Caenorhabditis elegans: one gene and its partner. The protein of the gene in region 1 interacts with the protein of each later gene in a pairwise test. Each region holds a gene or a part of one and is shown in the gene's direction. Other genes may lie near its edges.

What was found.
Region 2: the proteins of uaf-1 (region 1) and mel-11 interact in a two-hybrid assay, tested with the Caenorhabditis elegans proteins (one large-scale study listed by BioGRID).

The regions. Positions count from the first base shown.
Region 1 is NC_003281.10:1,072,624-1,080,178, reverse strand, and holds the start of uaf-1 (Splicing factor U2AF 65 kDa subunit), read left to right. Parts: upstream 1-3,623; coding exon 3,624-3,853; intron 3,854-5,703; coding exon 5,704-5,999; intron 6,000-7,555. Other genes in the region: Ras-related protein Rab-18, read left to right, coding at 1-221, 273-497. UniProt on the Caenorhabditis elegans protein: Necessary for the splicing of pre-mRNA. Binds to the polypyrimidine tract of introns early during spliceosome assembly.
Region 2 is NC_003280.10:9,355,358-9,362,629, forward strand, and holds the start of mel-11 (cGMP-dependent protein kinase interacting domain-containing protein), read left to right. Parts: upstream 1-3,173; 5' UTR 3,174-3,176; coding exon 3,177-3,257; intron 3,258-4,567; coding exon 4,568-4,768; intron 4,769-5,332; coding exon 5,333-5,887; intron 5,888-6,291; coding exon 6,292-6,509; intron 6,510-6,686; coding exon 6,687-7,016; intron 7,017-7,272.

The DNA.
Region 1 (7,555 bases):
ACGGAAATCGTGTAAAACTCGCAATTTGGGACACCGCCGGCCAGGAGAGGTTCCGTACCCTCACGCCGAGCTATTATCGTGGAGCACAGGGCGTAATTTGCGTGTATGACGTCACTAGCCGCAGCTCCTTCGAGAAATTGAATCATTGGATGCAAGAAGTCGATACTTATTGCACAAATGACAATATTATCAAGATGATGGTCGCGAACAAGATTGATATGGTGCGAAAAAGCCGATTTTGTTCGATTTTTGGCCTAAAAAATAATTTTCAGCCAAATCGAGTGGTAACCCGCGAGGAAGGCCTAAAATTCGCAAAACGCCACCGCACACTATTCATTGAAGCTTCTGCGAAGACTAAGGAGGGTGTACAGTGCACATTTGAGGAGCTTATCGAGAAAATCATTCAAACGCCCGACTTATGGGACAATGACCGCCCGTCTTTTCGGTTGGGACAACCGACGGGCTCCAGTGGTGGCGGCGGAATGTGTGGATGCTAGGAAATTCTCGCGGAAAATTCGTTCATTTTGACATAAAATCGATATTTTTACTGTAAAATTCATCAATTTTCACCTAAAATCCTGTTTTTTTCATGTAAATTGTCAAAATTTGACCTAAAATCCTGTTTTTTCCATGTAAAAACGTGAATTTCGGTTTAAAATCGCCAATTTTCCCTCAAAATCGCCGTTTTTTCCATATAAAAATGTCCAACTTTGGCTTAAAATCGCTGGTTTTTCATGCAAAGTTTATCGATTTTAACCTAAATTAGGCCTTTTTCCATGTAAAAATGCAAATTTTCCCCTAAAATCGCCAATTTCCCAGCAAAATCGCTGTTTTCGATGCAAAATTCATCAATTTTCACCTAAAATAGCCCGTTTTTTTTCATGTAAATTGCCAAATTTTGACCTAAAATAACCATTTTTTCATGTAAAATCGCCGATTTTGGCTTAAAATCGCAAATTTTCCCCCATAATGGCCGTTTTTCATGGAAAATCGCCGATTTTGGCTTAAAATCGCCAATTTCCCATCAAAATCGCTGTTTTCGATGCAAAATTTATCGATTTTCACCTAAAATAGCTATTTTTCCCTGTAAAAATGTCAATTTTGACTTGAAATTGCCAATTTTCACCTGAAATCCCCGTTTTTCATTCAAAATTTATCGATTTTCACCTAAAATAGCTATTTTCCATGAGGAAATGTCGATTTTGGCTTAAAATTGCCACTTTTTCATGTAAAAATGTCAATTTTTCTCAAAAATCGCCGTTTTTCGTGCAAAATTTATCGATTTTCATCTAAAAAAGCTATTTTCCATACAAAAATACCAATTTTGGCTTAAAATTGCCACACTTTTTCATGTAAAAATGCCATTTTTTCCATGTAAAAACGACAATTTTCCCCCAAAATCGCTGTTTTCCATGTAAAATTACCAATTTCGGCTCAAAATTTCCAATTTTCATGTAACATTTATCGATTTTCACCTAAATTAGCCATTTTTCCGAGCAAAAATGCAAATTTTGGCCTAAAATCGCCAATTTTCCCCCAAAATTGTCGTTTTTCCGTGTAAAATTCATCGATTTTCACTTAAAATAGCTATTTTCCACGCAAAATTTATCGATTTTTACCTAAATTAGGCCCTTTTTTCATGTAAAATGTCAATTTTGACCTAAAATCGCTGGTTTTTCATGCACAATTCATCGATTTTCACCTAAAAAAAAAGTTCTTTTCCATGTAAAAATGCCAATTTTGTCTTAAAATTGTCAATTTTTCCCCAAAATTGCTGTTTTTAATGTGCAAAATTCATCGATTTTTCCGCGAAAAATCCCCGTTTTCCATGCAAAATTTATCGATTTTTACCTAAATTAGGTCGATTTTCCCCCAAAATTCCCCCATTTTTCATGTAAAATTCGTCCATTTTCCCCGCTAAATTGTACAAAAAACCACCCGAAAATCCCCCAATTTCACATAATTCTTGTCAAATTTCACACATTTTCAGTGCCTTTAAGCCCCGTTTTTTTGCTATAAAATTGCAACATTTTTCCTGTAATTTATTGGATTTTTGTGTTATTTTTTCTCTCGTTTTCAGCGATTTTCAGCATATCTTCATCGATTTTTTGCAGATTTTCAGCTATTTTTTTATCGATTTTTTTGGGAGATTTTTGTCATTTTTCACCTAATTTTATTGATTTTCAGCCTAATTTTGTGTGTGCTTTTACCCATTTTTCTATTATTTCCATCATTTTCCCCGAAATTTTATAGATTCTACCTATTTTTCAGCAAAATCTCATTTTTCAGCGATTTTTCATCATTTAAGCTATTTTTTATCGATTTTCACCGAATTTTCAGCTATTTTATCAGAAAAATCTCAGTTTTTTCCGGCAAATTCACTCAAATTTCGCCTATTTTAGCGAGGAGCTCTTTTTTCCAGCATTTTCACCGAATTTTCTTTTTTTTTCGTAAAAAAATCACCAAATTTCCTCATTTCCAACCTATTTTCTCCATTTTTTCGCGGTTTTTCCCGAATTTTAAACAATTTTTCGCCAAAAAACCCCAAATTTCTTCATTTCCAACCTTTTTATTCCATATTTTCGCCATTTTCTCGGGATTTTCAGCTATTTTTTCCAGAAAAACTCCTATTTTTTCGGCAAATTCACTCAAATACCGTTTATTTTCTCACAATTTATCGTTTTGGAGCTATTTTTCCAGCATTTTCACCGAATTTTAAGCAATTTTTTAAAAAATCACCAAATTTCCTCATTTTCGTCCAATTTTCTCCATTTTTTCGCGATTTTGAGCAATTTTTTCCAGAAAAACTCCAAATTTTCTCACTTTCACCCTATTTTTTTCCATATTTTCGCCATTTTGTCGGGTTTTTCAGCTATTTTTTCAGAAAAACCTCCATTTTTTCGCGATTTCCACCGAATTTTCAACGATTTTTCCAAAAAATCGCCAAATTTCCTCATTTTCGCCCAATTGTCTCCATTTTTCCGCGGTTTTCCCCTGATTTTCGGCTATTTTTTTTTTCAGAGAAACTCATTTTTTCGCGATTTCCACCGAATTTTCAGCTATTTTTCCATTAAAAAAACCCATTTTTTCGTGAATTTCTCCGAATTTTCGGTTTTTTTTTTCAGAAAATTCGGAAAAATTGGAATTTTTCACTGAAAACTCTGAAAAATTCAATAAAAATTGGATATTTTTACTAAAAACTCGGGAAAATTCGTGAAAATTGCCGTTTTTCACGTGAAAATTCGAGAAAAATTGAAAAATGTGGAATTAGTATCCAAAAATGCTCTCGGAGCCCAAAATTCAGGAAAATCCTGAAAAAATTAACCAATTTTACTCAGAAAACTGCAAAATTTTTTTTTCAGTTTTTCTCGCAAAAATGTGCTAAACTCTCAGATTAAAATTCAATTTTCCGTGGCAAATGTGCTCTATCGGTGATTTTGGTGTGAAAATTCCAAACTTTTGCATTAGAAATTACAAAATTTTGGAATTTTCCACCCGAAATTGCTCACAGGAGCACATTTGACCACTTTCCCGGGGAACCTCTGCCCAAATTTTCAAATTTTTCCATCCATTTTCTCCGGATTTTCAGCTCTATTTTTTAAAGAAAATTCCCAATTTTCCAGATGAGTGATCACCAGGATGGCATGAAACTTGAAGATATTGAACGCCAATTTTTGGACGTTGCTCAACGTGAAGGAGGTCTCGAAGCGATTCAGCCGACCACTGGACCACTGGAAAATGAAGAAAATCTGAAATCATCGACTGGTGGTGGTGGTGGAGAGGATGATAATGATCGGAAAAAGAGAAAACGATCGAGAAGTAGAGATCGCGATACGAGAAGACGCTCGAGAAGGTGCTTAAGCTGGAAAAAATTGCATTTTTTGACGGAATATTCGAGAATTTTCGTGGAAAACTCGGCGAAAATCGAGTTTTCCGCTAGAAAATTGACCCAAAATCGGATTTTTAGGAGGAAATTTTGTTTTTTTTTGGCCAGAATTACGCTGAAAATCGCTTTTTGCATGAAAAACGGCTTAAAAATGACTTCAAACCCAGAAAATCAACATTTTTAGAGCAAAAATTCGAGGATTTTCGTCGAAAACTCTGCGAAAATCGAGTTTTCCGCTAGAAAATGGTCTAAATTTGAAGAAAATTGACCCAAAATCGGATTTTCAGAGCGAAATTTGATGATTTTCCATGAAAAACACTACCGAAAATCCCATTTTTCCTGCCAAAAAACTCTTTAAAAAATCGATTTTTGCTTGAAGAAATCCACCAAAATTTTCATTTTCTTTGCCAAAAATCTATGAAAAATCGATTTTTTCACAGGAAAAGCGGAAAAGATGCAATTTTAGCTGAAAATCCACCGAAAATTCGCATTTTTTACTTTGAAAAATCGCAAAAAATCGATTTTTCCTTCCAAAAACCTCCAAAAAATTGCAATTTTAGCTGAATTTCCACGGAAAAGTCAAATTTTCTGTCCAAAAGTTTGCAAAAATTCGATTTTCAGTTGGAAAATTGCGTTTTTTGGTCAAATTCCACCGAAAATTCCCATTTTTTAACCTAAAAAGTTGTAAAATATCGATTTTTCCTGCCGAAAACCCCGAAATTTTCAGTCGTGGAAGCGAGAAATCGCAATTTTAGCTAAATTTCCCACGAAAATTCCCATTTTTTTAACCTAAAAAGTAACGATAAAATCCATTTTCCTGTTCAAAAACTCGCCAAAAATAGATTTTTTAATTAAATTCCACCAAAAAAATTCGCATTTTTCCGCCCAAAAACCTCCAAAAAGTCCCAATTTTAGCTGAATTTCCATTGAAAAGTCTAATTTTCTGTCCAAAAAACCGCAAAAAATCGATTTTCCAGTGGAAAATTGCGTTCTTTGGTCAAATTTTACCTAAAAATTTTGAATTTTTACAATAAAAAGTGGCGGTTTTTACTCAAATTGTACTGAAAAACGCAATAAGAATGGTTTTTCTGTCCAAAAATTTGCGAAAAATCCATCTTTCCGCCCAAAAACCTTCAAAAAATCGCAATTTTAGCTGAGTTTCCACGGAAAAGTCAAATTTTCTGTCCAAAAGTTGGCGAAAAATCGAATTTCCAGTGGAAAATTGCGAAAATTTACATTTTTAACTTAAAAAATCGATTTTTCCTTCCAAAAACCTGCGCGAATCTGACAAAAATTGCAATTTTTCTGCATGAAAACTCATTTTTCTAGCCAAAAAAGTGCGCAAAAATCGATTTTTCCCCTGGAAAATTGCGATTTTAGCTGAAAATCACTGAAAATCCGCATTTTTTAACCTAAAAAATCGCAAAAAATCGATTTTTCCCGCCAAAAACCTGCGAAGCTGCCAAAAATTGCAATTTTTCTGCATGAAAACTCATTTTTCTAGCCAAAAAATCGCGAGAAAATCGATTTTTCCCGCCAAAAACCTGCGAAACTGCCAAAAATTGCAATTTTTCTGCATGAAAACTCATTTTTCTAGCCAAAAAATCGCGAAAAAATCGATTTTTCCCGCCAAAAACCTGCGAAACTGCCAAAAATTGCAATTTTTCTAGCCAAAAAATTGCAAAAAAAATCGATTTTTACACTGGAAAATTGCGATTTTAGCTGAAAGTCACTGAAAATCCGCATTTTTTAACCTAAAAAATCGCAAAAAAATCGATTTTTCCCGGCAAAAAACCCCAAAAACCCCCCATTTTCAGTCGTGATCGTGGAGAACGTCGTGGTGGTGGAGGTGGAGGTGATCGTGATCGTTCTCGATCCCGTGAACGTCGTCGAGGCGGTGGTGGTCGTGATGAGCCGAGACGTCGTGGAGGTGATGATGAAGCCCGTTCGCGCCGTGAGCCGGAGCCCCAGAAGCCTCGTGAGCCCAAAAAGTACCGATTCTGGGATGTTCCGCCGACTGGATTCGAGACAACTACACCGATGGAGTACAAGAATATGCAGGCGGCTGGACAGGTTCCACGTGGATCTGTACAGTCTGCAGTGCCCGTTGTTGGTACGGAAAAATGGAATTTTTCGCCTGACAATTCGGAAAAATTCGAGAAAATTGGCGGTTTTTGCCTGAAAATTCGGAAAAATTCGAGAAAATTGGCAGTTTTCACTGAAAATTCGGAAAAATTCGAGAAAATTGGCAGTTTTCACTGAAAATTCGGAAAAATTCGAGAAAATTGGCAGTTTTCACTGAAAATTCGGAAAAATTCGAGAAAATTGGCAGTTTTCACTGAAAATTCGGAAAAATTCGAGAAAATTGGCAGTTTTTGCCTGAAAATTCGGAAAAATTCGAGAAAATTGGCAGTTTTCACTGAAAATTCGGAAAAATTCGAGAAAATTGGCAGTTTTCACTGAAAATTCGAGAAAATTCGATTTTTTCACTGAAAATTCGGAAAAATTCGAATTTTTCATCGAAAATTCGGAAAAATTCGAATTTTTCATCGAAAATTCAATAAAAATTGGATATTTTTACTAAAAACTCGGGAAAATTCGTGAAAATTGCCGTTTTTCACGTGAAAATTCGGGAAAATTTGAATTTTTCACTGAAAAATCGGAAAAATTGGATTTTTTACTGAAAATTCGGAAAAATTGGATTTTTTCACTGAAAACTCTGAAAAATTCAATAAAAATTGGATATTTTTACTAAAAACTCGGGAAAATTCGTGAAAATTGCCGTTTTTCACGTGAAAATTCGGGAAAATTTGAATTTTTCACTGAAAAATCGGAAAAATTGGATTTTTTACTGAAAATTCGGAAAAATTGGATTTTTTCACTGAAAACTCTGAAAAATTCAATAAAAATTGGATATTTTTACTAAAAACTCGGGAAAATTCGTGAAAATTGCCGTTTTTCACGTGAAAATTCGAGAAAAATTGAAAAATGTGGAATTAGTATCCAAAAATGCTCTCGGAGCCCAAAATTCAGGAAAATCCTGAAAAAATTAACCAATTTTACTCAGAAAACTGCAAAATTTTTTTTTCAGTTTTTCTCGCAAAAATGTGCTAAACTCTCAGATTAAAATTCAATTTTCCGTGGCAAATGTGCTCTATCGGTGATTTTGGTGTGAAAATTCCAAACTTTTGCATTAGAAATTACAAAATTTTGGAATTTTCCACCCGAAATTGCTCACAGGAGCACATTTGACCACTTTCCCGGGGAACCTCTGCCCAAATTTTCGATTTTTCCAAATAAAATTCTGTAAAAAGTGCAATTTTGCCAGATTTTTTGCTTCAAAAGCTCAAAATTACCGTTAAAAAAGTCAAAAAATAAAATTATTCCAGTTTTTGGTTGAATTTTGATTTAAAAATCGGAAAATAGTGTGCAAAAATCTGACAAAGTTACGAAAAAAAACTAAATTTTTGCCCTGATTTTGATTTTTCAGTGCTGAAAAACTGTCGAAAAATCAAAAAGTGTCAATTTTTATCTAGAAAATTCGAAAAACTTCACTGAATTTTTGAATTCTCTCGCTGTTCCGTGGCAAATGTGCTCTATCGGCGATTTTAGGTCGAGAATTCCGAATTTTTGCATTAAAAACTGCAAAAATTTGGAATTTTCCACCCG
Region 2 (7,272 bases), on another chromosome or scaffold:
CCCCTGCCATTCCCAAGCTGCTACTTCCTTTTGCTTATGCTTTTGAACATCTTTCTCTTTTCTTACTCTTCTCATCCAATTCTCTTCGTCAACCAATTCACACGCTTCTTGTCAATGTGTACATGTTCGTTTCCCTCCTCCTTCAAAACCAGCTGTTTTCCGTCCAAATCTCATCACTCTACTCCCAATTGATCCTTCGTACTTTTTATGTGGACCAGCTGATCTGATGATACTGCTGATAAAGTACATGTCTAGAGGGCTATTTTAAAAATAAAGTAGATATATTTTCTGAACATTTTGTTTTACTAGAATTGACTTGTAAGTTCTTCTATTGTTCAAAATTAGCGAAACATTTCTTTGACTCCATATCTTGTCTTCAGTCTTTGTTACCGCGATCAAATTCCTTTTCTTTGTATATACTTGTCCTATGATAGTGAACATCTCAGCGCCGCACCGCGAATACCTCGGAATAATCAATCCAAATTAAGGACATTCTTGATAATATTGTGGCGGAAGAGGCATAGGCGATCGTCAATTCATAATAGTCTAGATTTTCGGGGGAGAACTGTCCAACGAGGCGGTAATTTTTGAAAAAGGGAGTGTCCAATTTATACACCTGCTCGCGAATGATTAAAAAGAGCCAGCTGTTTTAACAGAATAATATACAGTAATAAGGATTTATTGAAATCTTTACCTTTTGGATTTCCGCCTGTCACTTCTTATAGACTGTAAAATTAACTTCCGTTGTTCATCCCTTTTCCGGTATAGATTCACACCTAGATACGAGACTTTCGGAGTCTCACAAGAAAGATCAATATCTTTGGCAATGGTTGAGTACACGAAAAGAACGCTTTGATCAGACAGTTATACACAAAGTTAGGTGATCTGATCAGTGTGCACTTGTACTCACAACTTCTCGAGACTCTATTATAGATGAACGTAGATGTTTGCTCATTCAATTTATGTGTGTTTTTTCACTTCAAAGAGTGCACACATAATTTATGTATTACACACACGTTCTTTGTATTCTATCTAGCTGCCCTGGGAAGTGTATCTCTAGTTTATGACATTCTGATGCTCGCCTGTGGCTTTGAGTACTCACGGTGACTGGGCCGTAAAGTTGATACGATTTCAAAACAAAACATTTTAGGTTTTTCTAACTTATTACATGCTTTTTCAATGATTGTTCTTTTGTACCTCATTTTTGAAGTGTTCTTGCGTGGGCAGTAAATACCATCTTGACCTGGTTCTTAAAAAACCGCAAATCGTTGACAAGTGCTAATAGTTGTCTCTTTCTCTCTATTTACAACCATTTTTTGTGTGATGCTGCTACCGAGATTTTTCAAGAGTTCCAAGAGCTTATTAGTAAGCGCTAACCATCACCACGACCACCAAGCAGCACAACAGGTTAAGGATGATGATGAATAAGAGAACGGTGAGAGGAGGATCGGGAGAAGGATGATGGGAAGAGAGGGCAACCAGCCAACTGCCGCTGTGTGTATAATGATGCGGGAAAAGAGAACAGAGCGAGAGAGTCGAAATATATTGAGCGGTGTTTAATAGACGCAGACACGCCGCGTGCAGGCGGAAAGTTTCAAGTACGTCCCTCCCGGTCTCTTTCTCTTGGATGATGGTGTATCTGCGTCTCGAATCACTAATTCTCTCTTTCTGTCTATATCGTTGAAAATAGAGAGAGAGAGAACGACCTATCCATCGACTTGTCGCCCCTAATCCCGGGGGCACTGTTCCATTTTTTCTCTGGAATTAGTTCAATGTGTCCGTTACTCGAAAATTGTTTTTTAATTTCTCATTTTCTGAACATTGAACCTAGATTTTTTAAACAATGAATTTTTAATTTAAATGCCATAGCCAATGTTTTATATTAACATTGATTGCAAAAAAAAAAGAAATGTTTCTTTCCAAAAATATAACATTTCTTTTGAAATATAAACATTGATTGGCAATTTTCAAAAATTTTAAGCGTTTTTTACAGAAATGCCTTGCCTTTTTCAATTATTTTTCCAAATTTGTTTAGTTAGTCTTCAATGACTCACCGCAAACTTTTTTTAGAAACTTTGGAAACTCTAAATATTTCATTTTATAAAATTTTTGAACATAGATATTTTACACCAATATTTTTAGAAAACAAATTGCACCGGAAATAGTGCCCAATTTCATAATATTTGTTCTCCGGTGTATCCACAATCCAAAACCACCTTTATCACATCACTTTATCTAATTCTCTAAGCCTTTTCTGATCTTCACTGCCTCACTATTTTCACCCACTTGCCGCACTTTTCAATGGATGAGTGGGAGTTGTATTGATTAGTATTATATTTATATATCCTTAAGGATATATTTTTAATGGCGGAGTCCATGGATAGTTTGCTTAAAATTATTGAAAATTGGTCCTAATGAACGAATATATATATTTAAAAATGGTTTTAAATTATTTATAAATTTGAAGTTTGAAATTTTTTTTTTCAGTTTTGCCAAAAAATTCAAATTGCACATTTTTGTTGCAAAATTAAAAAAAATTTAGAACCATTTATAAGTGTTTTATAATTATATACGGTATTCGATTTTTCGATTTTTGGTTTTTTATTTAACAAGAACGTTGCATTTTTTAGATTTTTTTTTTTAGAAAAACCCGTAAATTTTTTGATTTTTTGGTATTTCGGAAAACCGAAAAACCGGCAGATTTCGAAAATTCGGGTATTCACATTCCAAGATTTATACGCAAAAGCTATGAAACTTTAGTCAAAAGATTAATCGAATAGTTGTGGTCTCATATTTCAAAAGAAGGATGAACCGGGAAATGAGTGAACGTTAAAGTAGTGGTGGTGGGATATGAAGAGTAATTGACTTGGAGGTGGTCGAATACGCGGAATAAGTCTCCGGTTTCAGTCACACGCTAAACTGGTCATTTCTTGTGGGTGTCTGTGTGTGAATACGAGTCATTTTTCCCAAGCTTCATCGTTTGATCTATTTTTTCTCGTTTCCAAAACCATAATATTTTTACAAAATACTTTATATATTTTTTGGAATTTCTACCCATTATTGTATCAATGAAACGAACGTCATTTGTATCACTTTTCTCATCGTTCTTTGCTTTTCTGATTGAACCTATCTCAAACAACAACATTTTTTACTAAAAAAATTTCATATTTTGCAGAATGGGTCAAGATGACGAGGACGATGCGCATATGCTGCAAGCAAAGCAGCAAATCACTTTTAATGTTGTGAATAAGAGAAAGGTGAGCTTTTTTCAAAAGTTTGAAAACAAAATTCAACAAAAAAATAAATCTGTAATTTTTGCGAAAAAAAATTTGGTAAAAACCTCGTTTATCACAAATTAAAATAGTAAAATAAAACTAAAATTTTCTTCGTTTAAATTGAAGAAATTGTCTAAATTTATATTTAAATTTCAACATTATAAATTAAAAATCAGTTTGAAATTTCATTTTTGTTAAAAGTGATCTTCGAACTTTAAATATCAAATTTTTGGCCGACTTTCTTCGGTTTTTGCGCCAAAAGTACGGTACCCGGTCTCGACACGAAAGATTTCTGTTAAATGCGAAAAGTTATGCACCTTTAAAGGTTACTGTAACTTTCAAAAAGGAATTTTCATTTTTTTTTCCATAGTTTTCATAGTTGTCTTTTTTTGTTCAGTAAATTAATATATTTTCAAAAACGAAAAACGTTAAAAAAATCATGGAATTTCACAACAATAGTAGGTTGAAATTACAGTACTCTTTAAAGGCGCAAGCCTTTTTGCATTAAACATAAATGAATCGTTTCGAGACCGGGGACCCGTTTTTTGACGTGAAAATCTTTAAAAAATTTCATCTGCTTAATTTTCCAGTTTGAAGCTTGTTCAGTTTTTTTGTAGTTTTTTTTTTCGAATTAAAAATTTGAGAAATTTAAAATTATTCTAGAGAAAGTTTCTGAAAACACCTTGCTCTCTATGATTTTTTGTCTGAACCGTCGTTCTTCCTTCATTTTCCATGTTTCCTCCTCCACCCCCGTTCTCCATTTTTCCTGCCATTTTCCATACAAACACATTGACAATAAAAGTGAGTCAGCGGGCACAGGGACACGACGACGGCGACGACGACGACGTCTCTTTCGTCTCTTCTCCGGAAAAAAAACCACCAAAAGAGAACGTTTTTTGATCTTTTTTTGATAGTTTCCACAGGCTTCCGGTTGAACTTTTTTCTTATCAGTGTCAAGTTTTGACTCATTCTAATCGGACGATTATTCGTTTTATTTTTTTCCATTTGCTTTGAAACTTTTTCTCTTGATCATTCAAAAATTAATTTCTAAAAAAAATTACAAACCAGTAGGTATTTAGTGAACAAAAAAAAAACGACAATCACGACCGAAATCCAGTCGTTTATACTTGTTAATCAATTGTGCAAACAGGTGCAAACACAATTTGTGAGCTCTCTCGGCGTGTGCCAACTTTTACTCTTTTTTACGCCGAGGGTTCGAAGTTTAAACATTCAATAAATTTAATATTTTTTAAACAAAAAAAACCATTTATTTGTAATTTTTAAATTTTCAGGATCAATTGCGCCGTTGGCAGAGCAGCGAGATGAACGCAGAAGCAGCTCGGCGAACGAAACGTCCAAAAGTACAATTTCAAGACAGTGATATTTTTCTGTCGGCATGTATGTCTGGAGATGAAGAAGAAGTTGAAGAACTGTTGAACAAGGGTGCCAATATTAATACTTGTACAGTTGACGGGTTGACCGCATTGCATCAGGTGAGATTTGCATTTATTATTGACAATTTGGTACTTGTATCGTCCATATGTGAAGTTTCGTGAATTTTGTTTAAAAAAATACGATACCCGGTCTCGAGGTGAACCTAAAGGAGTACTGTAGTTTTTCTACAGTTTCTTCAAAATTGCACATGTTTTTCAATAAAAGTTAAACAAACGTTTGAAAACGTATGAAACATCGAGGAAAATCCTGCAACAACAGAGAGCAGGGCTGGAGCAACGAAATTACAAAAAAAAATGAAATTGATAAAAACAAAACGAATTTAATTTGGAATTTATTTTAGAAAACAACCTTAACTTTTTCTGGAAATAAAAGTTCAAAAATAAATTTTAAAAAAATTCTTTTTGAATCCTTAAAAAACACATTTTTCGTAAAAAAAAAGTTCTTTAAAAACAGCTACAGTACTCCTTTAAGGCGCACAATATTTTAAATTTGGTGCTTCGAGACCGTACTTTTGAAACAAATCGCAACGTTTTGCATATGGATAGAACATTGAAAAATTGAAATATTGCATAAACAAAACATTCGAAATTGAATATTTTCAGTCGGTAATTGATTCAAAACCCGAAATGGTTCGATTTCTTTGTGAAAAAGGAGCCGATGTGAATGCACAAGATAATGAAGGATGGACACCTCTTCACGCAGCTGCATGTTGTGGAAATGTGGCAATAGTCAGATATTTGTGTCAACATGGAGCCGATCTCTCAATAGTTAATAGTGATAAAGAGTTAGCACTTGATCTTGCAGTAGATGAACAATGTCGTGATTATCTTGACGATGATTACAAGCGACAAATGATTGATCTCGATGCTTGTAGAGATCAAGAACTTCAGACAATGTTGAAAGATGTGAATATGTGGATGAGTCAGGGAGAATATCGAGATATTCCTCACCACAGAACAGGTGGAACTGCAATGCATGTAGCTGCTGGGCGAGGATACACACAATTACTCGAATTACTTATCAAAGCGGGTGGAAATGTACGGGCACAGGATGTCGAAGGATGGACTCCGTTGCATGCGGCTGCACATTGGGCTGAACGAGATGCATGTAAAATATTATTGGAAAATGGAGCGGAATTATCGGATCTAACGTTTACGGTAGGGGTTTACAGTTTTTCTGTTGCGGTTTTCAAGACCTGGCGCCTGCTTGAAACCTACCAGCCACTCGCCTATTTTCTGTATTCTGGCGTGAATTTTCAAATTTCTTATCTTCGAATTTCAATTCGATGAAAATCAAATTTAAAAAATAAATGAGGAAGGCAGAGGTCGCCTTAATTAAGCCAGGCAGGCGTTTCGACGCCGACATGGAAGTCCTATCAAAGAAAAACGACAACAAAACTGAATTTAAAAACATTTGTCATACCAAAATATGTTTTTTCAAAGATAAAAAATATTATTTACTGAAAAAATGTACAAACTTTATTTTTATCAAAAGTATATAAATTCACACCAATTGCTTTAAATTTTTTTAAATTTTTATTTAAAAAAAAAACAATTTTCAGGGTGCTGACGTTCTTGGAGTAGCTGATAAAGAATGCATCGATTATCTTGTCGAGTTGGCTGACACTGTGAAAGTACAGAACAAGCGAAAATCACCGGGTAGTGGCTCCCAGCCACCAACTTCAATACTTCAGGAGAAGAATCATAGAATGCCGTCACACGAGGAACATGTTCTGACAAGTGAACGGAAACGAGATTTACAGCATAAGGATCAGCATAGGTGGGGGTTTAGAAATTAATAATTTGAAAATTTAATATTGGAAAGTTTTATTGGGAAAAATCTGAATCAGAATTTCCTCAAAAAAATATTTTAAAAACATTGCATGTTCACCCTCAATTATTCCACTATATCCTATCGCTTCTCTATTTTTTTGTCTATTTTTTTATATTTCTCCAGTGAAAACGAGTTTCTTCACTCGCATCCATCCACTGCATCAGTTGGCTCGACCACATCATCCAACACAAATACCACCACAACCACCATTGTTATCGGTGAAAATGATATTTCTGCTGCACAAAAAGATTCAAGAGAATCATCGAAAGAATCAGCTGTTGATGATGAAGAATATGTCGCAGAAGATGAAATGGAAGAAGCTGAAGAAGATGAAGAAGAAGAAGATGTTGAAGAAGAAGAGGAAGAAAAAAGTGAAGCTGAATTAAAAAATGGAAAAGAAATTTCACCGCTTCGATCGGAAACTACAAGTTCGAGGAGTATATCTATAACGAGGTGAGTGAGCAGGCTTTTGAGCTGGAAATTTATGTTTTCTCCTGCAATTTCCACCACCCTATGAGTTTGAAACTTCTCCCCTCTCATTCAGGGACACGTCTGCAAGCTTTTTATTTTCGAGAATTGCTCGTTTTAATTTCAAAAAAAAAACTGAATTTTGTTCTTAAACAGGTCACAATCAAACCTTTAAAAATCATTAAAATTCAAATTCAACTGAAAAGTGAATTTAAAAAATCTACTGATGTTGTTTCCTCGA